Linked DNA regions of Coturnix japonica. The protein of the gene in region 5 purifies or fractionates together with the protein of the main gene of each other region. This does not show direct contact. Links are inferred from orthologs where the notes say so. Each region holds a gene or a part of one and is shown on either strand. Other genes may lie near its edges.

Evidence for each region.
Region 1: the proteins of protein POLR1D (region 5) and POLR3B purify together in Homo sapiens (affinity purification with mass spectrometry; 6 studies listed by BioGRID and IntAct, with this or other methods). This does not show direct contact. The link is inferred for Coturnix japonica from reciprocal best matches to the Homo sapiens genes POLR1D and POLR3B.
Region 2: the proteins of protein POLR1D (region 5) and POLR1B purify together in Homo sapiens (affinity purification with mass spectrometry; 5 studies listed by BioGRID and IntAct, with this or other methods). This does not show direct contact. The link is inferred for Coturnix japonica from reciprocal best matches to the Homo sapiens genes POLR1D and POLR1B.
Region 3: the proteins of protein POLR1D (region 5) and POLR2E purify together in Homo sapiens (affinity purification with mass spectrometry; 4 studies listed by BioGRID and IntAct, with this or other methods). This does not show direct contact. The link is inferred for Coturnix japonica from reciprocal best matches to the Homo sapiens genes POLR1D and POLR2E.
Region 4: the proteins of protein POLR1D (region 5) and CRCP purify together in Homo sapiens (affinity purification with mass spectrometry; 5 studies listed by BioGRID and IntAct, with this or other methods). This does not show direct contact. The link is inferred for Coturnix japonica from reciprocal best matches to the Homo sapiens genes POLR1D and CRCP.
Region 6: the proteins of protein POLR1D (region 5) and POLR3F purify together in Homo sapiens (affinity purification with mass spectrometry; 3 studies listed by BioGRID and IntAct, with this or other methods). This does not show direct contact. The link is inferred for Coturnix japonica from reciprocal best matches to the Homo sapiens genes POLR1D and POLR3F.
Region 7: the proteins of protein POLR1D (region 5) and POLR1E purify together in Homo sapiens (affinity purification with mass spectrometry; 3 studies listed by BioGRID and IntAct, with this or other methods). This does not show direct contact. The link is inferred for Coturnix japonica from reciprocal best matches to the Homo sapiens genes POLR1D and POLR1E.

The regions. Positions count from the first base shown.
Region 1 is NC_029516.1:49,181,310-49,184,632, forward strand, and holds the end of POLR3B (DNA-directed RNA polymerase III subunit RPC2), read right to left. Parts: intron 1,080-3,323; coding exon 950-1,079; 3' UTR 501-949; downstream 1-500. UniProt on the Homo sapiens protein: Catalytic core component of RNA polymerase III (Pol III), a DNA-dependent RNA polymerase which synthesizes small non-coding RNAs using the four ribonucleoside triphosphates as substrates.
Region 2 is NC_029518.1:13,955,877-13,958,909, reverse strand, and holds the end of POLR1B (DNA-directed RNA polymerase I subunit RPA2), read right to left. Parts: intron 1,800-3,033; coding exon 917-1,799; 3' UTR 501-916; downstream 1-500. UniProt on the Homo sapiens protein: Catalytic core component of RNA polymerase I (Pol I), a DNA-dependent RNA polymerase which synthesizes ribosomal RNA precursors using the four ribonucleoside triphosphates as substrates.
Region 3 is NC_029543.1:2,009,030-2,013,327, forward strand, and holds the start of POLR2E (DNA-directed RNA polymerases I, II, and III subunit RPABC1), read right to left. Parts: upstream 2,801-4,298; 5' UTR 2,722-2,800; coding exon 2,665-2,721; intron 2,592-2,664; coding exon 2,417-2,591; intron 1,728-2,416; coding exon 1,612-1,727; intron 1,340-1,611; coding exon 1,259-1,339; intron 1,112-1,258; coding exon 1,053-1,111; intron 903-1,052; coding exon 824-902; exon of another isoform or gene 576-823; coding exon 510-575; 3' UTR 497-509; intron 220-496; 3' UTR 1-219. UniProt on the Homo sapiens protein: DNA-dependent RNA polymerase catalyzes the transcription of DNA into RNA using the four ribonucleoside triphosphates as substrates.
Region 4 is NC_029534.1:3,815,473-3,818,972, reverse strand, and holds part of CRCP (DNA-directed RNA polymerase III subunit RPC9), read right to left. Parts: intron 256-3,500; coding exon 115-255; 3' UTR 1-114. UniProt on the Homo sapiens protein: DNA-dependent RNA polymerase catalyzes the transcription of DNA into RNA using the four ribonucleoside triphosphates as substrates.
Region 5 is NC_029516.1:157,557,116-157,561,275, forward strand, and holds the start of protein POLR1D, read right to left. Parts: upstream 2,801-4,160; 5' UTR 2,686-2,800; coding exon 2,660-2,685; intron 1-2,659.
Region 6 is NC_029518.1:13,399,183-13,402,682, forward strand, and holds the end of POLR3F (DNA-directed RNA polymerase III subunit RPC6), read right to left. Parts: intron 3,465-3,500; coding exon 3,352-3,464; intron 2,759-3,351; coding exon 2,615-2,758; intron 2,332-2,614; coding exon 2,224-2,331; intron 1,674-2,223; coding exon 1,482-1,673; intron 1,111-1,481; coding exon 1,033-1,110; 3' UTR 501-1,032; downstream 1-500. UniProt on the Homo sapiens protein: DNA-dependent RNA polymerase catalyzes the transcription of DNA into RNA using the four ribonucleoside triphosphates as substrates.
Region 7 is NC_029547.1:66,747,554-66,751,548, reverse strand, and holds the start of POLR1E (DNA-directed RNA polymerase I subunit RPA49), read left to right. Parts: upstream 1-1,195; 5' UTR 1,196-1,270; coding exon 1,271-1,331; intron 1,332-1,407; coding exon 1,408-1,511; intron 1,512-3,333; coding exon 3,334-3,410; intron 3,411-3,995. UniProt on the Homo sapiens protein: Component of RNA polymerase I (Pol I), a DNA-dependent RNA polymerase which synthesizes ribosomal RNA precursors using the four ribonucleoside triphosphates as substrates.

The DNA.
Region 1 (3,323 bases), about 110 Mb from region 5:
AGCTGGTACTCATTTGTGCATCCTATGCAGCTAAGGGAACAGCAGCAACATGACTGGTGTAGTTGTCTCAGGATCAGCATCCACAGTTCAGCTGTGTGAAGAGGCAGAGGGCACCTCAGGACTTTTGCAGTCAATGTTCTGCATTCTGACTCATGTAGTGTGGTGTATTTCTCTCAGGCACCTGAACATGCACATACTTTCTCCTGACTTCAGTTAAAAAGGTAAATGTGCTTTCCTAAGAAAGGACTCAGGATAGTTTATAGTTCTAAGTGAACTCTTGGTTCATCTGCTGCTTTAGGTCTCTTTAGACCTTGCATCTTATTAAAAAAAATCACCTAAAAATCTGTTCTAAAAATGACTATTTCAAATCCTCTAGGAGGTGTTCTTTCATATCTCCAAGACTGACTAATGAATGCTTTAATAACGTGCTTTAGGGATAGCAAAATGTTTCAGACATTACGAGAAGGCTGCACCATCCTTACATAACACAGCACCACAAATTCAGGCACTATTATTTAAAATATTTATTAGCCTTTCATATTCCACCAGTCTGTAAAACATGTTTTTAACCTCTCTGAATAGGATGTGCCCTGAGGGCAGCTCACGCCCTTGTCCAGCAGAACATTCTTCCTAACAAAGTAAGGGGTTGCTACATCCCTGAAAGGGATGTATGTGCTTCGCTGGATCATGGCTTCATTCCACCACTCCCACATGCCTTGTTCACTATGACTAATAAATGCTTTCAGAACTACTCCTAGCGGATGTTACTGATGAAGTGTTTTCTGCCAAATTAAAACAGGTAGAATACACACAAAAGACTTCCTACAACTGGTTTGCACCTCCTTCTGCCCACTTAGGTTTTAGAGTTACTCCTGTTCACCAAAAAATCTTCCAGATAATAGGCTGGATTTCAATTTATATGAAGTACTTTTTCTCTTCTTTTTCTTGTTCATTCATTGTACTTAGCTAGTTTTAGCCTAGGTATGATATTCATCGACTGCAGTTCTTGGAATAAGAGTTTACAGGCATAAGGTATCCGCAGAGAAGACACGTGACACGATGATTTGCAGTAATGGCACCTATGGAAACAAGTAAAAAGAAAGCCAGAGTTTATGCACAAGCAAAACTTTGCAGAAAAGAGCAGTTGCCACCATCCACCATTTTCACCTGCATCTAAACACTGCCTTTCTTTCCTAGAAGGAGCTGAGTGCTTGAGACGCATTAGCACTTAAGGCAGTCACAACTTCAGGCTCTTAAATCAAACTGAATGAAGTCAGCAAGAGCTCCCTGTTAAACCCGCACTTTTCTTGGACTAGAATCACAGTGCTTAGCAGCTATCAGGACCGACTTCTACTTCTTCATCACTTGCATAACTGCCAACAAATATTCAGCATTACATAATAACAAAAGGTGAACAGAACAAAGTATTTCTGAAACATGACTCATGATTTAGTTTCCATCTTGTAGGTAGCCACAAAAAAGAGGCAGAAAGAATGAATGCTCACATTTAGTTGAGATTTCCCCCCCCCCCCTTATTCACAATGTCACCCTATGCTGCTTCAAACCAATCCACATTCCTATAGATCAGAAAAGGAGCATCTCTCCCCTTAGGTCCCTCTGTAGAAACAGCAAAATCTTCTGCAGAGATGGAGGTCTGGTAAAACTGCTTTAATGCATAGTTTTTGCACTCTTTACTCAATCTGGGAGACAGGTTTTCCTTTTTATTCTGTTTCTTATCTCTGTATTTCCTGATTTTCTTGTATTCTCCATCTTCTGGCTTTAGAGAGTTGATGAAGCCAGGCCTTTGGGAACACAGAGGTCCCAGCACTTCCCTAATGGTCTATCAAAGCTCTCTTTCTGCTTTTATGTTCCATATTTATATTCTCGGCATTATGTCATGACAGTTCCAAGCAGCAAAGTTGCTACACGCTTCTGTGGTACAGAATGAGTCTAAGAACAATCATCTGCAATAAAGCCAGTGCTTTACTCACTTGTTTCTGATATCAGTGACCTTGACCTAGAGCCTGAGGGTGTCACTGCAGCCAGATATAATAAGGCTGGTTCATGTTAAGCAAGATTCTTGGTTATGAAACTCACCATTGTAACTCACCATTAGTCCTTCCACAGTTACTCTTCCCTAACTATGCTGCTTCTCTTTAATGGACATACTTCCCCAAGAGTTTTTTTCTTAAAAACTGACCTCCTTATGCTCTAGAATTGGGGTATTTATTTATTTTTCTCCTCTTGAAACTCATCTAAGCTTTGACAACTAATTGTATAGAAGGTTTAATTACATTTCTCTAGTTTATGATGAGGAATGAGGCTCCAAGTAACTGGTTTGACTTCACCTAGATCTGACTACAGAGAGGTTAGTAGGCTGAGCTAGTTGCTCTCTAGAACACGCTTCTCCGCTGCACCGTTCCACAGGAGAAGCATTAAAATCATAGAATCACAAGGCTGGAAAGGACCTACATCATCTAGTCCAACCGTCCACTACCACAAGCCACTAAACCATATCTCATAGCTCCTCATCCAGATACCTCCTGAACACTGCCTGGGATGGCGACTCCTCCACCTCCCTGGAAGCTCAATGAGTCATGACTTTTCTGTTTAGCAGCTGTCTAGTGTTTGATTACAGCAGCTAGGGGCTGAGGAACCCAGACTACTCACTGCACCATACCTTGAAGCTAGACCCTTCTGGGCCTGTTTTGTATGTGCACAGAGATCATCCAGAAAGGTTACAAGACACAGTGTGCACAAATTGTAAGTTACCATTAAACAGAGGTCATAGAAACTGAAGTATCCAAGAGACCCATTTGATCCTAAGATTGCTGCTACACTGTACGGGAAAAGGCAATAGTGCCAGAACTGGTCTTAAGATTTTAAAATGCCCAGACAAAAAGAGTAACTTCTCATCATCAAAATAGGACCAAATTTCATTCAAGGAATTCAGTGCATAACTGTAACACAGCAAAGCTGAAGGATTTGCACGCAGCTGGTTTTAAGCTTCTACATGTACCTTTTACAGGGACAAATTCTGTCACTGCCACAACAGTGCCCTTCTCTATGAAAAGTACCAGTTCAGGCCCAAACACTGATGCACTGTTACTGTGCTGCAGACAGACATACCCAACTGCTAGTCCTTGTCTGGGAACAGAGCACATCTTCCTGCAGACAATTGTCCTTAATGGCATCCACCAAACAATATGTTTCTACAGGGTTTCTCACAGCAATGTCTGATTAATGCTGGAATCACTGACAAGGACAGTTTGGAAGACGTGAGTTTCTCTTAATGACCGTCTCTTCTGTGATGCTCATTATAG
Region 2 (3,033 bases), on a different chromosome or scaffold from region 5:
AGCCAGGCAGCGCTATGACGGATCAGACAGGGGACTCAGCCCCCCCGGCCCCAGCCACCCCTTCATTTGCTGAGCTGCTGCAGCTGGTGCAGAGGGGCCAGGCCCCAGCCGGGGTGCGGTACCCCAACGCCTCACCCACAAACGACAGCCCCACAGCCTCCCGGCTCCCGCGGCCACCCAAGCCCTGGGAGAGCCACCCAGGCCGGCCCTGAGCCACTGTGGCAGGCAGGAGATCCCACCACCCCCCTGGCTGCCCTTGGATCCCCCAGGAGGACGCAGCAAGGCTGGCTGCAGCCACAGCTTTAAATGCTTTTTTTTTTTTTAAAGAAACATATAAAGAACTCTTAACATGTATAAAAATCTTGGTGCCAACCAGACGAGGCTCATACCTGAGGAGAGGCCACAGCCACCGCTGGGACTTGGGGACACAGTCTGCCCCAGGGCTGAGAACCTGCCTGTGGCCGTGCACCTCTGCAACCCAAGAAGCGCTGGAGCCAAGGTAAGAGCCAGGCTGGAAAGCCATCTGCTTTCTTCTTTGGGTCAAAATATTGAAATAAAAAATAATGACAAAAAAAAAGTGCAATGCACCGTCACTCCCAGCATTCGCTTCATGCTGTTTGTGACCTATTCATCTTTACAGCTGCTGCCAGCTCTCAGCAAACAGAAAACTCACACCGCTTTCAAGCCGGCGGCCCGTAGGAACAGTGATCCTGCTTGATTTCCACACACGTTGTAATAGCAATCTCTTACAACGTGCAAACACCAATGGGACCGCATTTCTGCACCGTGCGGCACCACCCCATCACAACGCAAACATGAAATTAACCTTGTGAACTGCCTGACAAACCTGAGAACTTAACCCTTGAAGCCCATAAGGGGCAGGACTAAGGCGTGCTTCCTCTCTCTCACTGCAGGATTAGTGCTCCAGCGTGAGCCTTAGCTTGATGTTCATGGCTGCCAGCTCGGCCAAGAAGTACCAGAAGACATGGGGCACTGGGATGACCTGGATGGTATCCATACTGCCACACAGCATGCAGGAGTACCTCCTGTTGCTTGCCACGGAGGAAGGTGGTGGGCGCTGGAGCAGAGGAGATAACATGCTGCCACAGCTGGTGCAGACATAGGCTTCAGAGGCATCGGAGCAGCTGAAGAGGCGGTCGTGCAGCAGGAAGGAGGTGCCGTGAGCCAACAACGCATCACGCTCCATCTCACCGAAGCGAATCCCCCCTTCCACGTTCCTCCCCTTGATGGGCTGGTTGGTGACGGAATCCCGAGGGCCCGTTGTCCTCACCTGGAACTTGTCGGAGACCATGTGGCGCAGGCGCTGGTAGTACACGACCCCCACAAAGATGTCTGCCTCCAGCTCCACGCCGCTGATTCCGCTGTACATCTTCTCTGTCCCAAAGAAGTTATAGCCCGCGCTCACCAAAGTCTCACCAAAGTACTTCAAGGCTGAGTTCTTCTCCGTGAAGGTGAAGGGAGTGGCATCGTAGTAGGCACCGTGCAGCGCTGCTGACTTCCCCGCCATGCTCTCAATTAACATCCCGATGGTCATACGTGAGGGGAACCCGTGGGGGTTGAAGAGGATGTCTGGAACCATCCCGTTCTCTGTAAACGGCATGTCTTCGACGGGCCACAGCTGGCTCAGGATGCCCTTCTGCCCATGGCGGCTGGCAAATTTATCTCCAACAGTTGGGTTTCGAGGAACTCTGACGGTGATGCAGGCCTTCTTGAATTTCCCAGTGCCACGGTCATTACTGCACAGCTTGATGTTGTCTACAATGCCGACCTCTTTATTCCTGTGTAGGTGGAAAAACATTGACAGCAAAGGTATCAGATGCGCTCGTCACTTTGAGCTAGGAAACGAAGCAAAGACACCAAACCACTTTTAAGTCTAATAAAATCTGGGGATCACGTTTTTTTGAAGAATATCATTCAGGGAAATCAGAGGGCGTAAGAATTGGAGCACAGCAGCCAAACAAAGGTATCACCCAAGTGACATTTGTTTGCTGCTTCTAATGCCAATGGCACAGCTGCAAATTCCACGTGATGAGGTAATGTGTCACTTGTGAGAATAAAGTACAAATCATTGAAACCTGGTTCATCAGTACCTCATCTCATCAGACATGCCAGTTGTTTTGCTTCAAGGCAGCATTTTCCTGTGCAATAAATTAGCGTTGTCCTCATGGGACGCTAGCATAAATGAACAGGTTCAGGGCAAAGCTCAGAGAGGAAAGCTCAGGAGCAGAGAGCAAAGGCACAGTGAGAGCTGAGTGGGCCCTTTGCCAACAGGTGTTTGGGGCTACGCTGCTGTTTCAAGTGAATCCTCAGCAGATGTTTCACATGCTGGATGTCTGCTGCAGGCTGAACTCTGAGTCAAAGCCTCTGCTCTCAACCCCTTCCAAGCCAAGCTTAAGATCCAAGCAGTGTGTGCAGCACAGTTAGAACAGCAGGGAGAGTTGCCCCTTCAGGTTGCAGGGTCTCTGGGGAAACTGGGGGCAGGAGGCAACATTGAGAGCAAGGAACCTCTCCATAGGAACCTAAATGAATACCTCATATAGAACCGTAATGAACAAGCGCTGTAGAGTTCAGAGGTAAAATGGGTGTACGGGTAAGGAACCTGAACTAAGGTGAGGCTGGCATAAAAGAGCTGGCAAACAGGAATACGGAGTAGGGAGCCAGAACAGGATCCACAAGGGAAGGAGCATAAGGCTGAGCTGACAGCAAGTTCTGGCAGTCCTCACTGCCACGTACTCAATCTTTCTGCTCTGCTCACAACCAGTTATCTCTCCAATGCAGTTTGAATGCACTCATTGTATAGTATTAATAGATAGCTTTCCCAATAAAAACTGGTTATTCTGTTAACCAAGCACTTCATAAGCTAATTTTCTCTCTAAGCATGAATAACAGTACTATCCTCACTCTACAAATGCTGCAGACAGGGCATGATGTTGTATTGACAACAGCTTCAGGCAAGAGACTGGCAAGTCTCTGGGGACCAAGCACCCAATTCAGTTAACATAATACTGCAGA
Region 3 (4,298 bases), on a different chromosome or scaffold from region 5:
CTTCCCTGTGTCATTCAGTTGCTTCGAGGTGTTTTCATGGCGTTCCTGATTGAAGCAGAAGGATTTGCAGCAAAATCCGTGCTGGGAAATGAGGAACTGGGACAAGGAAAACAACTGCAGGGGGGCAGCAGGGACAGAGAACTTCCTCAGCCATCGAATGCAGACAGCTGAGAGCTGGTGGTGGGTGGGAAGATCAGATGTCACAGAATTCTTTCACAACTGGAAGAAATAAGTCAGGACGTGAATGAGCTCATGTCTCCCTCAGCAGCTGCTCTCAAAGCAAAGCCCTGCTGCTGCTCTGAACATTGAGATGTGCCTTCAGCTGTGATACTGAGGCACCAAACCCTAGTATAGCTTTGCTCTGATCCATCCCATACAGTTCCCTTCGCAAATCAGGAGGGAATCCTTTCCCAGAGCCAACTCACTTCAAGTCACCCCTAGAAAACCACAGCATAAGTTTAAAGCACTGCCCGTAGATGGGGATCTCACACATTACCTGAGAGCTCTGATCACTGCACCAGCCTGTAGGTGATGTAACGGCCTGCGGTCTCACTCGGTCTTATGATCTTCACCACCTGGAAGGGCAGCAAAAGGAGCAATGGGGGATGGCTGGTGTTACAGCAGCTGGTTCAGCAGGAAGCCAAGCCTGGCCCCAGGGCTATCTGCTGCCTTGCACACATCTCTACATAACCCATAACGTTCAGAAACAAAAACACTAACAAAGAGGAAACCTTTCCCATCTCCAAGCTCTGACACACTGTGCTGCAGCTCCCCATCCTGCCTGCAGGGCCCTGCTGTTTGTTATCAGGCTATTTGCTCTTACCTGGCCTCGCTTTATCCCGAAGTATCGGGCCACAGGATCCCCAGCCTGGATCCTGGGGAGTTGGTTCTCCCTCAGCTTACTGCATGGAGTCAAGGAGGAGCTCTGTGTCTGCTTGTCCTGAGGCAGGGCACAGCTAACAGAACATCACACACTCAAAGGAATCCATTTCTTGCCCAAGACAAGCACTCATCACACCCTGACTGCAAGGGAAGGACCAAACAAAGGATACTATCTGGCCAGCAGCTCGGTTACTTCTTCTTTTGTCATGACAACGTGCTCTGGGACCAGCTGTAAACAGGAGAGAGAAAGAGAGATCATAAGAGTCTGAGAAAGCAACCAGCTCTGCATAGCTGCAAGACTTGGGGGGAGGAACAAAGCTCTGGTGGGGAAACCCAGCACAGGGCAGGGCTGGGAGGGCCGGCCTGAATCACTCACCTCGTGTTCTGTGATGTTGATCAGGAGCTCCTGCTGTAAGAACTGCTCCAGGATGTATTTGGGAGCCATATCGACCAAGGACTGGGAAGGGAGAAGCACATCAGGTTGTAGCACTGATATGAGACAGTGTGAGCTCAGAGATGCCCCAAGATGAACAGCAGCAGGAGGGCAACACGGTGTCTGTGCTCACATTGATATGGTCATATGGGCAGAGAGGAAACAGATCTCTGTGCCCAACCAGCACCAGCTCAGTGCACTCAATGTATAAGCCCAGTATTAAGGCACAGAGCCTGAACTCTGCCTTTATGGACCCAGCACAGCTCAAAGAGCCCCGGGGCCACATCACACTGTACCTGCTTTGCCGATGGGGTCATTCCCTGCTGCACCACGATCAGAGCCCGCGTGATGTTCTCCTCCTGCATGCGCTGGCAATACATCTTGATGGTTTTAATGCCGACTTTGGGTTCCTCTGAGGGAGGAAAAGAGCAGGGTGAGATTGAACCAGGAGCACCACCAGACCCCAACCTGACCCCAGCCCAGTTCTAACCTGGTCCCAGCCCAGTACTAACCCGGTCCCAGCTCGGTTCTAAGCCAGTCCCAGCCCAGTCCCAACCCAGTTCTAACCCGGTTCCAGCCCGGTCCTAACCCGGTCCCAGCCCGGTTCTAAGCTGGTCCCAACCTGGTCCAAACCTGGTCCCAGCCCGGTTCTAACCCAGTCCCAACCCGGTTCTAACCCGGTCCCAGCCCGGTCCTAACCTGGTTCTAACCCAGTTCTAACCCGGTCCCAGCCCGGTTCTAACCCGGTCCCTACCTGGTCCTAACGCGGTCCCAGCCCAGTTCTAACCCAGTCCTAACCCGGTCCCAACCTCGTTCTGACCCGGTCCCAGCCCGGTTCTAACCCAATTCTAACCTGATCCTAACCCGGTTCCAACCTGGTTCTAAGCCGGTCCCAGCCCAGTCCCAACCCAGTTCTAACCTGGTTCCAGCCCGGTTCTAAGCTGGTCCCAACCTGGTCCAAACCCGGTCCCAGCCCGGTTCTAACCCAGACCCAGCCCAGTCCCAACCCGGTCCTAACCTGGTCCTAACCCAGTTCTAACCCAGTCCCAACCCGGTCCCAGCCCGTTTCTGACCCGGTTCCGACCCGGCCCCGTTTCTCACCGGGGAAGAACACGAACATCTGGTCCGTGGGATCATCGTTATGTGCCACCAACACGGTCAGGTCCGTTCGGCGCGGGCGGCCTTCGCTGGGTTTATCCCCGAACTGAGCTTTAAACTCCTCCAACGTCTGATCCAACTCGTCCTGAGTCACCAGGTAACCGCGGTCATGGCACAGCTAAAGGGAAATACAACATATGAGACCTGAAACCGGACCGAATCGAACCGAACCGAACCGGGCCGGCCCGCACCTGCATGATGGTCTTGCGGATCTTCCACAGCCGGTACGTCTCCTCCTCGTCGTCCATGTTGCCTCCTGAAGGACCCCACGAGGCTGCCCGCCTCAATGCCTGTCCACAACGAGCAGGCGGGGCTGCCCTGCGAGGGGTCCTTGACCGCGGGGAACGCTGGGAGATGTAGGCGGGGTGGAATGGCGGAAGGACACCACCCCCTTGTTGACACTGCAGCAGCCTCGCTGATTTGATTGGTGGTTTCGCCTGTCTATCACCCAAGGGAGCGGCTCGCATTGCGCAACTGCAAGAAGTGGGCGGTGCCTTCGCGCGTCCTAATCGCTGATTGGTCAAAGGGGGGGAGAGCGGTGGCGGGATGGGGTGGGGGTGGCGTTGCGGGCGGGCGCTGCTGTGCGGGGCGGCGGCGGCGAGAGGAGCGGGGCGGACAATGGTGAGTGGGGGGGGACAGAACAGAACCGAACCGAACCGAACCGGGTCGGTACTGGGGGGGTTGGGGGGGTTCGGAGCCGCTTTGTGACCGCTGGGCCCCGCAGTGCGCGCAGGCGGATGAATGGCGATCGGCCACCTCCATCTATGACTTCCACGCCACGGATATCGACGGCCGAGACGTGGCCTTGGAGCAATACAGGTCTATTAGATATATATATTATATAGACATTATATAGACATTATAGAGACATTATATGTACCATACAGCAACACAGCAATGGGCTGTATTATATACCCCCCCCCCCATTTTACCCCCGCAGAGGTTCCTTTTACCCCCTATTTTACCCCATTTTACCCCATTTTTACCCCCTATTTCACCCCTTTTACCCCCTATTTTACCCCATATTACCCCATATTTTACCCCATATTACCCCTTTTACCCCCACAGAGGTTCCTTTTACCCCCTATTTCACCCCCTTTACCCCCTATTTTCCCCATATTACCCCCACAGAGATTCCTTTTACCCCATTTACCCCCACAGAGGTTCCTTTTACCCCCTATTCTACCCCATTTACCCCCACAGAGGTTTCTTTTACCCCCTATTTTACCCCATTTACCCCCACAGAGGTTCCTTTTACCCCCTATTTTACCCCATTTACCCCCACAGAGGTTCCTTTTACCCCCTATTTTACCCCTCCAGGGGTTTCGTCTGCATCATCACCAACGTGGCTTCCAAATGAGGAAAGACTGCAGTGAATTACACTCAGCTTGTCGACCTGCACGCACGATACGCTGAGAAAGGGCTGCGCATATTGGCCTTCCCATGTAACCAGTTTGGGAAGCAGGTGGGCACCTCAATGCAAAGATATGGGGTTGTGTGGGGTTTACACGTGTGATACCTGTTTTTCCCCCCCCCCAGGAGCCTGGGGATGATGCACAGATCAAAGCCTTTGCGGAGGGTTACGGGGTGAAGTTCGATATGTTCAGTAAAATTGAGGTCAATGGGGACGGCGCCCACCCGCTGTGGAAGTGGATGAAGGAGCAGCCCAAAGGCCGGGGAACGTTGGGGAAGTGAGTGGTGATGGAGGGGGAGGGGGCAATGGGATGGTTCTACCCCTCTGACCCCATTGTTTTTCTCTCTCTCAGTGCCATCAAGTGGAACTTCACTAAGGTAGGGGCTGTGTGAGCACCCTCAGCTCTGATAG
Region 4 (3,500 bases), on a different chromosome or scaffold from region 5:
ATTTTACAATGATGCCCAATACAAGCTGAAACTGGTATCGAGTAAAAAATAGAAGAAGATTAACCAATTCTCTTCTGCCGAAATTGTTGCTGGCTTTGGTCTAGATTCCTCCTGCTACTGGCCGCCTCCGCCTTCAGTTTCCATTGCTGAGTCTCTCTGCTGTTCTTCTGGATCCCCTGGAAGAATGCTGGCGACTGTCTGGAGAAGCGACTCGATCTGCTCCTCTGTCAGCCTTTCCTCGCTTTCTTCTACCATCTGTAGGTCAAGAACAATCCATTGAAATCATTAAACCCATACTTCTGCCCTCAGCTCCAAACCAAAGGACTAAACTAATTGGGAAATACTATTTTCAATGGATGAAAGACATTGTAGAATGTTTTTGTAACGAGCTCCGACAAAGTGGAACTCTTGGAATTTACAGAAGAATGAAGAGCTCCATTGTTAACCACGACAACAGGCACTCCATAATGAGACCCTGCCTTCTTCAAAACAAGGAAAGCAGCACACATAACGCAACCTTTAATCTGCATTTCTGCTAAAACCTTTCCCAATCCATACATCCATATTTTGACTCAGGCCTTTCATCAGCTCATGTGCAGAGCTGCCTTCCAGATTTCTTAAGTTCCTGAGCAAACTGTGTGTTCTTGTGATAAGTGAAACGAGATAACACGACACTGGTTACCTGAACCTGGGTATCTCATCCAGCACCTCGAAGGAAAGTAATTGCACCATAAAAGAAGCCACCTGTGCCTGGAGCAGCCGTATGTTATTAGAACTTATTTTGATTGTAGATTTCCGGAGTATGAAAGCATATAAAAAGCTCTGAGCAACACAAAACGTGCTGTCATGAATCAACAATAAAATTCTATAAGATTAATTAGGGACCTACTCTCACTGTGGAGCTGCGGGAACTCTTATATCGCTGCTACCAGTAAAAACTGCTGCCCTAATTTATAGGCAGCTGCTAAAAGGAAAAGCTTGTCAGAGGACTGCAGGCATAAGCCAAATGAACTCTTCAAACGCAAATGAAACCAATTAAGACTGCAGGGTTTGAGATTTGCTTTTTTTATGCAAAGTCCTTTAAAATGTCCTTTGAAGTGTGGTGATTTATATTAATTACAGTTCCAAGTCAATGCAGGTTTAATCATTTCTAGCTGCAAATTATCAGTCATTCAGACACATCTTGCCTTCTAAAAACCAGATTGGTATATTCAATTACCTTCCCCCCTCCCCTCCGTGTCCTATGACATGTCCTATGAGTCCTCTTTGCACAATCGGGTCATCTTTCAGCAGCCATTACCCGCAGCCCCTTGATGAGAGGAAAGCACGCATGCTACAAACCACTCATGTAGCAAAAGGCAGACGAAGATCCATTTGTAGATGACTGTTTCTGGGAGCTGTGCTGATCAAAGGATGAAATCCTCTGTGGAGTGGCTTTCAAATCATGGTTAGCTCAGGAACTACTGTAGGACCCTGGCTTGAAAAATAGCTTTGGCTCTCATTCCTGTCAGCTGTCACAGTATATATTACAAGTTAAAATATGCTAAGAACACTCCTACCATTACCCTTCTGTGTAAGCAACTGCTGCAGCTATTGAAGTGGTACCAGATAACGGCCTTCAGGGCTGCTTCTCCGAGGTGACCATGTGGGCAGGTTAACTGGAATACCTTGGAGCATTAGCACTACGCAATGAAATGTGTTACAGTGCATAAATACAGTCTTTGTTGCCAATACTGCTGACACAGCCATTACTCCCCAGATGATCTATGCTGCTCAGTTTTGTAGAGGGCTGTGAGCCTGCTTTTTGGACAGGGTTATCAGTGTAGTGTCATTAACGATTGCTGCATTCAGCTTTGAAGGTGACAGCACCACAGCAGCAGGAGCTGAACAAACCTGACAAAGAAAAAGCCCACATCACAGAATCACAGGTTAAGGCTGGGAAGACCACTAAGATCCCCCACCCCAGCCCAGCCTCACCATTACCACCAACCCAGTCCCTCAGTGCCACATCTCCACAGTTCTTAAAACCTCCATGGACATCTTTGAGACAGGCAAAATCACCTAAAGGCTGATTTATCTCTCAGGGCCAATGTGTCCTGCACTTGTTATTGCTTCCATATCTTCAGAAAGCTGGCACCTTGCCTGGGTTAGATCTGATTTATTGGGTCATTTGTAGTCTGCTCTTCTTCCCTATTTAAATTTGATCTCTCCCTGGGTTAGCTCCATTCCCTTTCTTTGCCATATACTTCTTACAGAATCAGAGAATCATCAAATCACTTTGGATGGAAGGGACTCTTGAAGGCCATCTGATCCCACTCCCCACAATGCACACAGACACCCACAGCCCCATCAGTGCTCAGAGACCCTCCCAGCCTGACCACGAGTGTCTCCAAAGATGGGGCATCCACCTCTCTCCAGGCAGAGATCTCCTGTACCTTCAGGTACTTCACAACTCAAGTTAAACAGAAGGCTTTGATCAGAACTTTAACAGATAACAGTATTTCCAGATCAGCAGCAACCCTTCTCAACTTTTGCACTGATGACAAATTGTACTTACAAGTCTGATCACTGCTTCTAACATGCTGCTGAGTGCTGAAGAGTAATGTCCCAGCTCTCACTATGAACACTCATGTCAATGTCAATTGAACCGGTTGAACACAAGACTGCAGGACTCAGACACTGCTCAGGGCGCTGACTGATGAGCTCCTGTGGCTGCTCTGGCAGCTTAAGAAATGACACCCTTGCAGAAAGTTGATGAAAAAAAATAGCCTTCCATGTTCCAAGTGCATCAGTGCTGTAACTGATGTCTTGGATTGAACTGCTCAGAAAAGCTCCTTCAAAATAAGATGCTGGATCCAAGAGGCGATGCATCTCTGAATTCCCTTCTGTTGACAGATTTGTAGCATCTGTCAGAGGGAAGACGTCATTTGTTCGGTTGCTGCAGCAAATTCATTGTGGACTCACCTCTCGGTGCCTGAGATCCATGCATCCTCACTGCCAGCTCTTCCACCAGAAACTACTGATAAAGGTCTGTGTTTTGGCAGGACAGACAGTGCTGATATTTCAGTGCTATTTGGCTGCGATGCTACTCAAAAGTACAAAGGATCAAAAGCACCAGCTATAAAAATCAGCTCTTCCAAAGAACCAGCGTGAGCTTTAGGAAAACACAAGCAGCAAGGAAGCAGCAAAGCAGCACAGCAAAGAGAAAAACTCAAACATCAAGCACAGAGAGCGTGCAGACAAAGAGACAAATGAAACTGCTCTAAAGGAAAACAGACATCACAAGCGAAGCAGAAGGTGACTCAGATTCAACAGATGTTCGCAGTGTTCACTGATTTGCAACTGTAATACCTTTGCTATAGAAAGCAGAAGGAAGTAAGGTTATGATACTCAGAAGAGAAAACATGCACAAGGGAGAACAGAAGAGGAGAATAAAGGAACAACTGTGTTCAACATCTGACATTTCAGCAAGAATTTCAGCAATACAGGAAAAAAACATG
Region 5 (4,160 bases):
AACCATCTTTCGTAGATCAAGATTGTAGCTTGTTTAAATATTCCATTTGTCAGTCTCATAAGTGCTATTTTCAGAACATTTCCACGCTGATATTCTCAACAGTGAAGATACCACTTAATCTAATCTGAAACAATATCAGCTTGCAGACCAATTTTTGCCATAGGAGATAGGGAAAAAATGGGAAATAATGACCTAATTACGACATTTCTATTTTTACTGTTAAAAACAATAGCAAGAAATGTCAATTAATTTTACCAAGGTGCAAAGCTTACTTGTTAAGGAGTGTAATTAGGACATCTGTGCAGCAAGATGGCTATGAATTCTCAACTCAACAAGAGGCTTCTTGTTACTAAACCCAGTAATGGTCTTGGAATTTAGAACAGTATCCCCTTTAGGAAACACTTACTACCGAGATGATGCTCCAAGAAGGCTTGGTAGGCAATTCTAATAAGATTCTGAAATATTTATAGCTAATGAGAGGCAGATCTGACTATAGAACAGTTTTGATACATGGTAATATAAAATCTCTTCCTTTACACTGTCAGAGAAACCTCATTTTTTTTTTCTCCCTGTGCTTCCAACAAAGACACAAAGCACAGAGACCATTTAGAAGGGGAGGTGGGGGAGGAAGAGATGGGGATATGCAGTAGAAATTAAGTAGCAAAAGCAAGTACACATGCTTATAGCAGAAACAACCAGCCTCTGGTAGCTGATCCATAAGGTTTATAGTAGTGACTATTGGGTATACCTTAACATCATCATTATACACTAACAGGATTAATCCCAGAATTTCCTTAGGATCACAAGATATTTCTGGCTTACAGTCTGGATCTGCACTGACATACCAGAGGAAAAAACACCAGCTTATGCTTCCAACAAAGGTTATTGGGTGAAATGGGAAATAACTCAGTAAAATGCAGTGAACAGTAATATTTCACTGATTTTAAGACTACTCCTTATTTTTTAAATCCATACTATGCAAGAGTTGCACTGTAACCTGCAGGTGAGCATTCCCCTTCTACAGAGACTCCTATGAAGTGAAGAAAGCATCAGATGCAAGATGAAGCATGAGTCAGACATGGAAAAACAAGGCAAGCTGGATGAAGACTCTTCCTAAACAACTATAGATAAGTAGCTTCTCTTAGCAGATCCCAGTCTGGAATGTTAAGAAACAAAACTTACTTCAGACCTGAAAAAACACATACAAAAATAGTTATAGTTCCCACAGTACCTCTGGACAGCCTGTGCCAGTGACGTGCCACTCCCTAAGTAAAGAATTTCCTCCTAATATCTGACCTAAGACTTCTCTCTTCTAGTTTAAAACCGCTCCCCATTTTCCTACTACTACCTGTGTAAAACTTTTAGTCTCCCTCCTGCTTATAAGCTCCCTTTAAGAAGTGGAAACACAAAGCACTGGCTGCAAGCAAAAAGTGCTTAGGTTTGGAGTGGCACTAACAAAAAGAGCATTTGTGTCTATATAGAAAGAAGCTTTAATAATTAAACTGATGATCTGAGTGAGGAAGTGCCCTACCAAGAATTAAGGCTTCTTGGAAAGCATTACATTCTCTATCCCCCCCACCACCCCAGTGGCATCATACGTATCTCATTTCAAAGATGTGGTAGATCTAAGCTGAAAGAAGTGACTTAACAGAGAATCACTTCCACTAGAAGGGATCCCTTAAGGTCACCTGCTCCAACCCACTGAAATGAACAGGGATATCTAGAGCTAGATCAGAGCCCTGTCAAGCCTGGCCTTGAGAGCTTCCAGGGACAGAGCATCCACCACCTCCCAGGGTAACCTGTGCCAGTGCCTCACCACAATGATTGTAAAGGAACTTCTTCCTTACATCCAATCTATGTCTCCACTCTCTTGCTTTGAAACCATATCCCCCTGTCCTACTGCAACAGACTCTGTTAAAGCATCTGTCCCCTTCTTTCTTATAGACCCCCTTCACATACTGAAAGGCCATTCTCAGGTCATCCTGGAGCCTTCTCTTCTCCAGGCTGAACAGCCCCAGCTCTCTCAGCCTGTCCTTGTAGGAAGGCATTCCATCCCCTGGGTCATTCTGTGGCCCTCCTCTGGATGTGCTCCAACAGCTCCATGTCTCTCCAGTACTTCAGGTGAGACCTCACCAGCACAGAGCAGAGGGGCAGGATCACTCCCTTGGCCAGCTGGCCATGTTGCTTTGGATGCAGCACAGGTTGGCCTTCTAGATTGCCAGGGCACATTGCTGCTCATGTTTAGCCTGTGATCCAGCAGTACCCCCAGGTCCTTTTTAGCAGGCCTTCCCATCAGCACTCTCAAACACATTTCTTAAAAGTTATGAGACGGAACCATGAGATTCTCAGCCATCACTTCGCTGTAACAGTTCCATGCAGCTGCTTGCAAAAAGTTCAGCCTCTACGCGTTAACCAAATAACTTTAACCACCCATTTATACGACTTTTAAATCTCTCGCGTATAAATGACATTACAAGAGCGGTCCGCATTACGCAGAGATGCGTAGCAATGGGCTGAGGGCTCAGGGCCGAGCACAGGCCGCACAAGCCAGGCCCTACAGGCCGGGAGCCGACACAGGACCAGCCCCAAGGCCTCACTGGCCCTACAAGCGCAGCCCAGAGCGAAGGAGAACCCGCAGCACAGTACGGCCGCCCCTCACCTCTCCAACTCCAGATCCTCCTCCATGGCAGACTACAGCCCGGCTCCTCACGCTGACACAGACGCCATAGCCGCTCTCAGCCCAGCTCCTCGAGGCGGAGCGAGCAGGCGCAGCTCCGGATCCGGCGGGGAGGGGGCGGTGCCGGGCGGGGCGGGGATGGAGCCCTGGCGGCAGCGCTGCCCACCCCGCCCCGCCCCGCCCCGCCCCGCCCCGGGTTGCGCTCCGTAGGGCGGAGGGTCCCTCCCGGCCCGGGGCTGCGGTGCGTCCCGCCTCGGCCGCTCCGCCATAGGCTGAGCCGGCCCCGCGCCCGGCCCCGCGCCCCGGGGCTGCCGCCGGAGTGGCGGAGCGCGGCGTCACTTACGCTGCCCCGGGGGAGGCGGGGAGCGGGGCCGGGCGGTGGGGAGGGAGGCGCCGCGCCGAGTGGCCGCCCGGAGTTCGGCTGCCGCCGTGAGGAGCCGGGTGCCGCCGTGGTAAGTCCGTGCCCCGCAACGCGCTCGGTCCCCTGGGGGCGGCCCGGCCCCTCGTTGCGCTCCGCGGGGCGGGGGCCTCCCCCGGGACAGGGCCGGGCCTGCGGCGGGGCCTGCGGGGCCGCAACAAGTGCGGGAGGGGGAGAGCAGCGCCGGGCCGCTTCGGGGAGTTGTGCTGGAGCCGTGACTCCGGAGTCGCGTTACCGCTGCCTGGGGAGGGCGGAGGGCAGGGAGAGTTGTGGGCAGCGCCGGAGCGCACACATCGATGCCAGGCTGCTCTTTTCTCTCCCCTCTCGTTTAAACCGAAGGTGCGGTTGGAAAACTTGCAGTGCGGCGCCTTGTGAACTTTCCCGAGGCGTGCCGTGTTACTGCTCCTCGCTGTGTGTTGGTGCTCAGCCGAGCGGGTAGGGAGTGCTATGGCACTGACAGGCTGCTCGGCCCCATGGGGCTCCTGTGACCACGCTCCCGGTGCGGGGCGTTGGTTGTTTCCTGCTGTAGGAATCCACCATTAAGTACGCCCGAGCTTCGTTTAATTCCTATTTTAATTACGTGATCTCGTTGCTCTCTGTGTGCGACGGGAAAATGACACGGATCGGCTTTGGGTCGTGTTTGATGCTCTCTGGAAATGCACTCCTGCTCGTAAACGCATCAGAGCTTTTGCTCAGCAGAGACCCAGATCCGAGCTGGGCCCCCGTTAAAGTAAATGAGTGATTTCTGTGTGTCTGCAAACCATTGTCTTCCTTTGGGCTCCACGAAGCTTTGCTGTAAGCTTCAATCCCACCGCAGATCAGGGAGCTTAGGGGGAGCATCAGATGGCTCCGGTTAGCGGCTGTGCACTTGGGAGCAAACACGGCGGTGCCATATGCTGCCGTGACTTCATTACCATCCCTCCAGAGACAAGGTTTGTGAGCACACCTTTGGGAACAACAAAACCGACTGGGACCTTCTTGCATTGACTTCTAAAGTGAGGAATCCCCTCTTTCCTGAAGCCAGTTCTATATGGTTGACTCCAAATGCAGGGAATTGTAAGGATT
Region 6 (3,500 bases), on a different chromosome or scaffold from region 5:
TGAGGAGCTACGAGATATGGTTTAGTGGCTTGTGGTAGCAGCAGTAATGGGAGGACGGTTGGACCAGATGATCTTGTGGGTCCTTTCCAGCTTTGTGATTCTATGATTCTGTGATTCTAAGAAATCTGCTCTATGTGACAGGAAGATAAGAGCGTGCTTTTTGATGGTATGCCAGTATCATGCCTTCAATCACAATCCGTATTTATGTACAAACAGCTAACTCTGGTGCTTTTTGTAATCCTCAGGGCACCGAAACAGCCTACACAAATTTTCACTGTACCTGTATAACCAGGACAGAAGAGCTGTTTCTCGTTTGGAAAACACATCTTCACAGAATACCTACATTCTGAATTTCAGCTGACACTGATGTGCATGATGCAGCTGCCAGAACACAGAAGCACAGATCAGATAATCAGATCACAGTAGCTGTCCAACAGAAAATGCAACAGAAACATCACCAGACTCTGACAGCAGTGGAGTAAATGAAGCACCAAAATAGATATGAAAAAAAATCAAATACAGTTTTAATCATAGATCATAGCAGGTAAGAACGATGGTAAAGAATCATCAATTCCTATTTTACATAGGGAAGAAAGTGTCAGCTTTAGGTCTTAAGCTCCCACCAGCACTCTAAGTCTGAAAGCAAAGTTTAGGATCTCATTCTTGACAATGCTTCTTAGCAAGTTCTTCTGATCAGCTGATGACTTATTTTCCTTCGAAGTAAGCGTCTGTTGAGTATTCAACACAATCCTTGAATGCAATGCCTCACCACACAGCTGTTCTGTTGTGCTTCTCAAGTCAGGCACTTACATTTTGTACAAGATGGGAACTACGTTCAGCCTTGATCTTCAATGCTTGTTTGATTTTCAGTCCACTTACAGGACTGCTCACACAGCTGATGTGCTGCAGCTTTATGTTTACTTAAAAAGAAAAAAGCCAGAGGAACTTCACATCTTGAAGTAGCTCACAACCAGAAGCTGCTTTGTCATCTTAGCTGTGAAGAACGAATCGAGTTTACAGTTTTCTTTCACCTTAAAACTCCAGCCATTCTGTCATATAAATACAGTTAGATGGAGAAATCTCACCACCTTCATGGCAATCATCAAAAACCTAGGGAAGAAAGAAAGACCTGTGTCAGACCTGTGTAACTGTACGCAGCGAGCATGACTTAACTAGAAGTAGCAGAGCCTCATGTTTCCTTTTCCTTTCTAAGTAGAAAAACAGTAGTCTAGCTGAGAACAAAGTCGAGGAAGTTCAGTGCCAGTTTGGAGTAAGAGCAACGTGAGCACAACAAAGCAAAACAGAACCCGCTGTAATAAATGATGCAACATAATGTTCATGGGCATCATGAGCACACTTGGCTTAGAAACCCACAAGAATCACTCACAGACATAACCTTCATTTGCACCAGTTGACCATTTGAAGGACTGCATCCAAAATGTGCATGTACCACCTATTCATGTAAAGAATTTGTTACTTACTGGACAGAGTCCACAGGGTGTCCTGACTAATCCAGTGGGTTGTATGAGAGGACTGACAGCTCTGTACAACTTCATCTGTCCATCCACACTGCCGACCGTCCCTTCCTTTGCAGCAATAATAGTCATCTCCACTTTTCCATCGTATATTAGTGTATTTAAAATGGTTTCAATGTCTTCCATTGACAATTCTACCTAAGGAACAATTTGTAAAATAAATATAGGAAAGACGTTTGCCACTAAGTACATGAGGAAACAAGAGCAAACCCCCACGAGTAACAGACATTTCCAGGAGCCCTTCTAACTTGTCCCACATTACAGGTACAGCTCTTAACTGGGCACTTGATAGGGTTGTGTAGATACAAAAAGAAAAGTCCCAAGACTTCTTGGACTTTTTCTTGGACTACATTAACCTTTACTAGCGCAAAAGAATTTTCCTATGCACCTCAAGTGTCTATATTATCTCAGCACGATATATTTCTTGTCCTACAACAAAACAGTTGTGGAAGAAAAGGACAAGAGTACTGAAGCCTGTTGGTAGTGACCAACAATGGCCCACGCATACAGACTATCCTGGAATCCCATACAGCACCACTGGCAATCCTCAAAAAGCAACAAAGCAACAAAGTCCACCTCCACTGCAGTAACTGCAGGGAACTAGAGCACTCACCAAACTTGCACGACCCAACTCCTGCAGCTAATCATGTACTGACAATTCTGAGCAGAAAGATGAATTGATGCTGACCTTACTGATACCCAGCTCACAGATGTATTTCCACACCTCATGGGAGGAGGCAAATGAGCTGTTCCTCTGTATCACAGGGTTCTGTTTGCTCTCTCGAGCCGCTTCTGCCTGAGGAAGAAAACCACAAAGACAAGTTGCAGTCAGCACTCAGTGACAGAGCTTTCTTCACAGCTCAGTTTAGGGCAGAGTGCAAAGTGCTGTTTTGTAAACCATTTCTGAGATGTCACTGCAGTTTGGAGAAGGAAGGATCCACTCACTGCAAAGGTTACAAAAAAGTGTAACACTCACAGGAAGTACCATGGAAAACTGAAGCCTTGTCTGTCATTGGCTTTAGAAATAAAAGATTTATTTGCAAATACAAATGAAGGATCAGTTTAGTAGTGGCACTTACCTTACTCTGTAGAAATTTAAAACACTGCTGATTTAACACCTCCACAAATTCAGACTCAAAGTCCTGGTCACTGTACCAGGCCCCACCAGTCACCGATCGGTCAGGCTGCAGGTTATACAGCATATACACCTTCTTCTTGGATGCCTGGTAGAGAAAGTACATGGCTCTGAATAGATGAAGGTAAAATCTAAGGCACAGTAATGATAACTTGAGTCAGCTGGATTGATGTGTACAGCTCCTAGATAAGATGGACACACATTGCTAGTATGCAACAAGCCCTGAGCTAGAAACCAGGAGAGTGCCCAAATAATATGCACATGCCAATGATTTGTAATGAAGCAGGTAAGGCAGAGCAGGATGCTGCATAAGCATTACAACAGAATAACAAAAGTACTGAAAAAAATAAGCCCTACTCTCGCATGTGGACTATTTGTACGTAAGATATAACAGCAGTATGAATGGTAATAGAACAGTATATTAATGGCGGTGTATTTATTACTTATATTATTAATTTGTTTGCTATAGTATGTTTATTACTTATCAAACATGACAGCCTCTTGGATCTGGTACAGCTCAAACATACATTGTAAATGTTAAGAGTAAAATGTTGGTCCACATGCAGTGACAAAGCTGGAGGCAGAACAAGGTTTCTCTGCTCCCTGTTCCACGTTCAAACATGTACAGCATGTAGCAAACATTTGGAAATGTTAAAAAGCAACAAGTCAAAAATTACTCACTGCCACAGATTTCACTGCTTTAATTAGTTTCTTGCTTTCCAAGTTTTTCAATATCTTGTTGATCTCCGTTAAAGGCAAATTACTTTTGTATCTGATGTCCCTGCTCCAAATACCTGTTAAAGAAGCACAGAAATGAACAGAATTAATTA
Region 7 (3,995 bases), on a different chromosome or scaffold from region 5:
AATACTTCCAAATGTCCAGCCTGAATCTCCCCTGACGCAGCTTAAAACCATTCCCTCTAGTTCTAAGTTCCAAGTTAGCAAGAAACAGCAGGTAGGGACAGAGGCGCTGTCACAGAATCACAGAATTGTAGGGGTTGGAAGGGACCTCTAGAGATCATTGAGTCCAACCCCCCTGCCAAAGCAGGCTCCCTACACCATGTCACACAGCTCGGCGTCCAGGCGGGTCTTAAATATCTCCAGAGAAGGAGACTCCACCACCTCCCTGTGCAGCCTGTTCCAGTGCTCCGTCACCCTCACTGTAAAGAAGTTCTTATTAAGGAACTTCCTATGCTGTACTTTCATCCCATTACCCCTAGTCCTATCCCCACACACTACTGAAAAGAGACCAGCCTCACCACTATGGCCCCCACACCTCAGGTATTTATAAACCTGGATCAAGTCCCCTCTCAGCCTTCTTTTCTCAAGGCTCAACAGACCCAGTTCCCTAAGTCTCTCCTCATAGGGGAGACGCTCCAGGCCCTTCACCATCTTTGTGTCCCTCCACTGGAGTCTTTCCAAGAGATCCCTGTCTTTTTTGTACTGGGGAGCCCAGAACTGGATACAATATTCCAGATGAGGCCTTAATAGGGCAGAGTCGAGTGGGAGGATCACCTCCTTTAACCTGCTGGACACACTCTTTTTAATACACCCCAGTATGCCATTGGCTACAAGGTGCTAGCAGCGTGTTAGCACCTCCCCAACCCAAGTACCGTCCTCCACATCACGGCTATGATGAGCAACGACATGAACGTGAGACAGGAGGGCCTAACCCCAACCCTAACCCTAACCCCAACCCTAACCCTATAACCCTATAACCCTATAACCCTCCTAGCATCACACCAGGACCCCCTCACACCCCACCCCTCGTGTAACGCATCCCATCGCTCTGTCCCTCCCTCCAGTGACCGCAGTGGGCACCGCCGCCGTTACAGACCCGCTCCAGGCTCCTCCTTCAGCACCAGTGAAGCAGTGCGGGCAGCGGGGCCGGCACACCGCCTGTTGTTCCCGTGCTGTTCCCCTGTTGTTCCCCGCTCACACCGGGCCCAGCGGCACCGAACCCGCCGCGCTACGACGCTCCGGCCCCGCGCTCCACCCCCGCTCCCACCCTGTCGCCGCGTCGGCCGGAAATGACGCCATATTGACGAGAGGATGTGACGTCATCTCGGAGCGCCCCCACCGGAAGTGCCGCCATTACGGCGTGGCGCCTGGCCTGTTCCTGTGTGTACCGGGTATGGCCACCGCCACGTGGAGATACCGCGGGGATCCCGAGCAGGAGCAGCCGGCAGTGCTGGGTGAGCAGAGATGCGGGATGGGCGGTGCGGTGCGGTGAGGTGCTGAGGGACTCACGGCCTGTTTTATCGCCCGTAGTGACGTTCTCCAATGGGCAGCTGCAGCGACCCGACGCCGTGCGGTTCTCGCTGTACCGGAGCAGCGAGGTGTCCAACCCCAGGAAGAGAAGGCGGAGGATCCTGGTAAGGCCCGGCATCACCGGGGGTGGGATCTATGGGGTCTATGGGGTCTCTATGGAGAATCTGTGGGGTCTCTGTGGGGAATCTGTGGGGTCTGTGGGGTCTCTATGGGGATCTATGGGGACTGTGGGGTCTCTATGGGGTCACTATGGGGATCTGTGGGGTCTCTGTGGGTCTCTATGGGGGTCTCTATGGGGATCTATGGTGTCTATGGGGGTCTATGGGGATCTCTGGGGTCTCTATGGGGTCTCTATGGGGGTCTCTATGGGGTCTCTGTGGGGATCTGTGGGGTCTCTATGGGGTCTCTGTGGGGATCTGTGGGGTCTCTATGGGGATCTATGGGGTCTCTGGGTCTCTATGGGGGTCTCTATGGGGATCTATGGTGTCTATGTGGTCTCTGTGGGGATCTGTGGGGTCTATGGGGTCTCTATGGGTCTCTGTGGGGTCTATGGCGTCTCTATGGGGGTCTATGGGGTCTCTATGGGGATGTATGGGGTCTATGGGGTCTCTATTTGGATGTATGGGGTCTCTATGGGGGTCTATGGGTCTCTATGGGGTCTCTGTGGGGGTCTCTTTGGGGTGTATGGGGTCTCTTTGGGGTGTATGGGGTCTCTTTGGGGTCTCTATGGGGGTCTATGGGGTCTCTATGGGGATCTAAGGGGTCTCTATGGGTCTCTATTGGGATCTATGGGGTCTTTATGGGGATCTGTGAGGGTCTATGGGGTCTCTATGGGGATCTCTATGGGGGTTTATGGGTATCTGTGGGATCTGTGGAGTCTCTATGGGGATCTGTGGGGGTCTTTGGGGTCTCTATGGGGATCTATGGGGTCTCTATGTGGGATCTTTGGGGTCTATGGGGTCTTTATAGGTCTCTGTGGGGTCTATGGGGTCTCTGTGGGGATCTGTGGAGTCTCTGTGGGGATCTATGGGGTCTCTGTGGGGATGTATGGGGTCTGTGGGGTCTCTATGGGGATGTACGGGGTCTATGGGGTCTCTATGGGGATGTACGGGGTCTGTGGGGTCTCTATGGGGATGTATGGGGTCTATGTGGTCTCTGTGGGGATCTATGGGGGTCTGTGGGGTCTCTGTGGGGATCTGTGGGTCTCTATGGGGTCTCTATGGGGATCTATAGGGTCTCCTGGGCAACCTGATCTAGTAAATGTGTATGTTTGGTGGCCCTGCTAGGCAGGGGGGTTGGAACTACATGATGCTTGAGGTCCCTTCCAACCTGGGTCATTCTGTGATTCTGTGAAAGTCCTAAAGATCATCCAGTCCAACCGTTCTCCTATTACCAATAGCTCCCCCTAAACCATGTCCCTCAACACAACATCCAGTCGTTCCTTGGGCACCCCCGGGGTGATGATCCTCTGGTTTGTAATGTTGCCTTCCCACAGCTCTGTGCCACTTGGCTCATTCTGACATCTAACACTTGTTCTGTAAACCGAGAAAGGCTTTGAGTAACTGCATCAAGCAACCTTAAGCACTGCGAGTAGGATGTGCAGGTGACTGGTACAGAATGCTCCTTTCCACTGCCTCTTTCACAGACTGCTCCTACTGCTTTAAAGGATGGTTTATTTATTTACTTTATAAAGTATAAAGTAAATGGAATATGTAAAGTAAAGTAAAGGAATATGATTTAGCTGAGAAATATCGGTAATGGTTGGACTAGATGATCTTGTAGGTCTTTTCCAACCTTGATAATTCTGTGATTCTATGGTGACCGTGGCAAATTTGAGCTTTGTGTCACTAGAGATACAGTACATGCAGGAAAATATGCACTTTCAAATAATGCACTCTTCAAGTAATTTTTTTCTTTGTTTGTCAGGTTTCAGAAACTGAAAGGCTTTCATACGTGGGGAATAACTTCAGCAGTGGATCTATGAAAAGCAACTCCCTATGCAGGTATGGGTAGCTGGCAACGCTGTGGCAGAAACAGGGAGGGGAAAGCAGAGGAACTGCACAAATAAAGTATTTTCTGTAGCCTTCTGTATTGGGGACTGATGAGTTCTCATTGAGACCATGGTGTGAATGGAGAGGATTGGGGCAGTTGATATAATCTCCTGGCAGCTGCACCATTTTGCATGTTGTGATCTTACACATAAGTGGAGTTTAGGTCTGCTGGAGGGAAGAAAAGTGAGAAGGTGTCTGCACATAGCTGAAACCTATGGACAACAGCATTATTCCTTCTTAACTGTTGTCTCGCTCCAATTTAGGAGTGAGGCAAAGGTTCTTTTAATAATGTTATGCCCGGCGTGAGATTAAGAAGAAGAGCATTCAAATGTTGATCCGACCAGTTTATTGGAAATAATAGACAATTGAGGGGATGGGGAAGGGAGAGTGACGAATGCCAAAATTAGGGTGATGGGGAAGGGAAAGTAGGCGATAGAAAAAGGTAGAAAAGAGCAAGAATTACGTTAAAGCGGGGAATAGTCACCTCCTGGATGCAGCAGCGTCCCGTAGCACGTTGTTAACGTTGGTCCGGGGCAA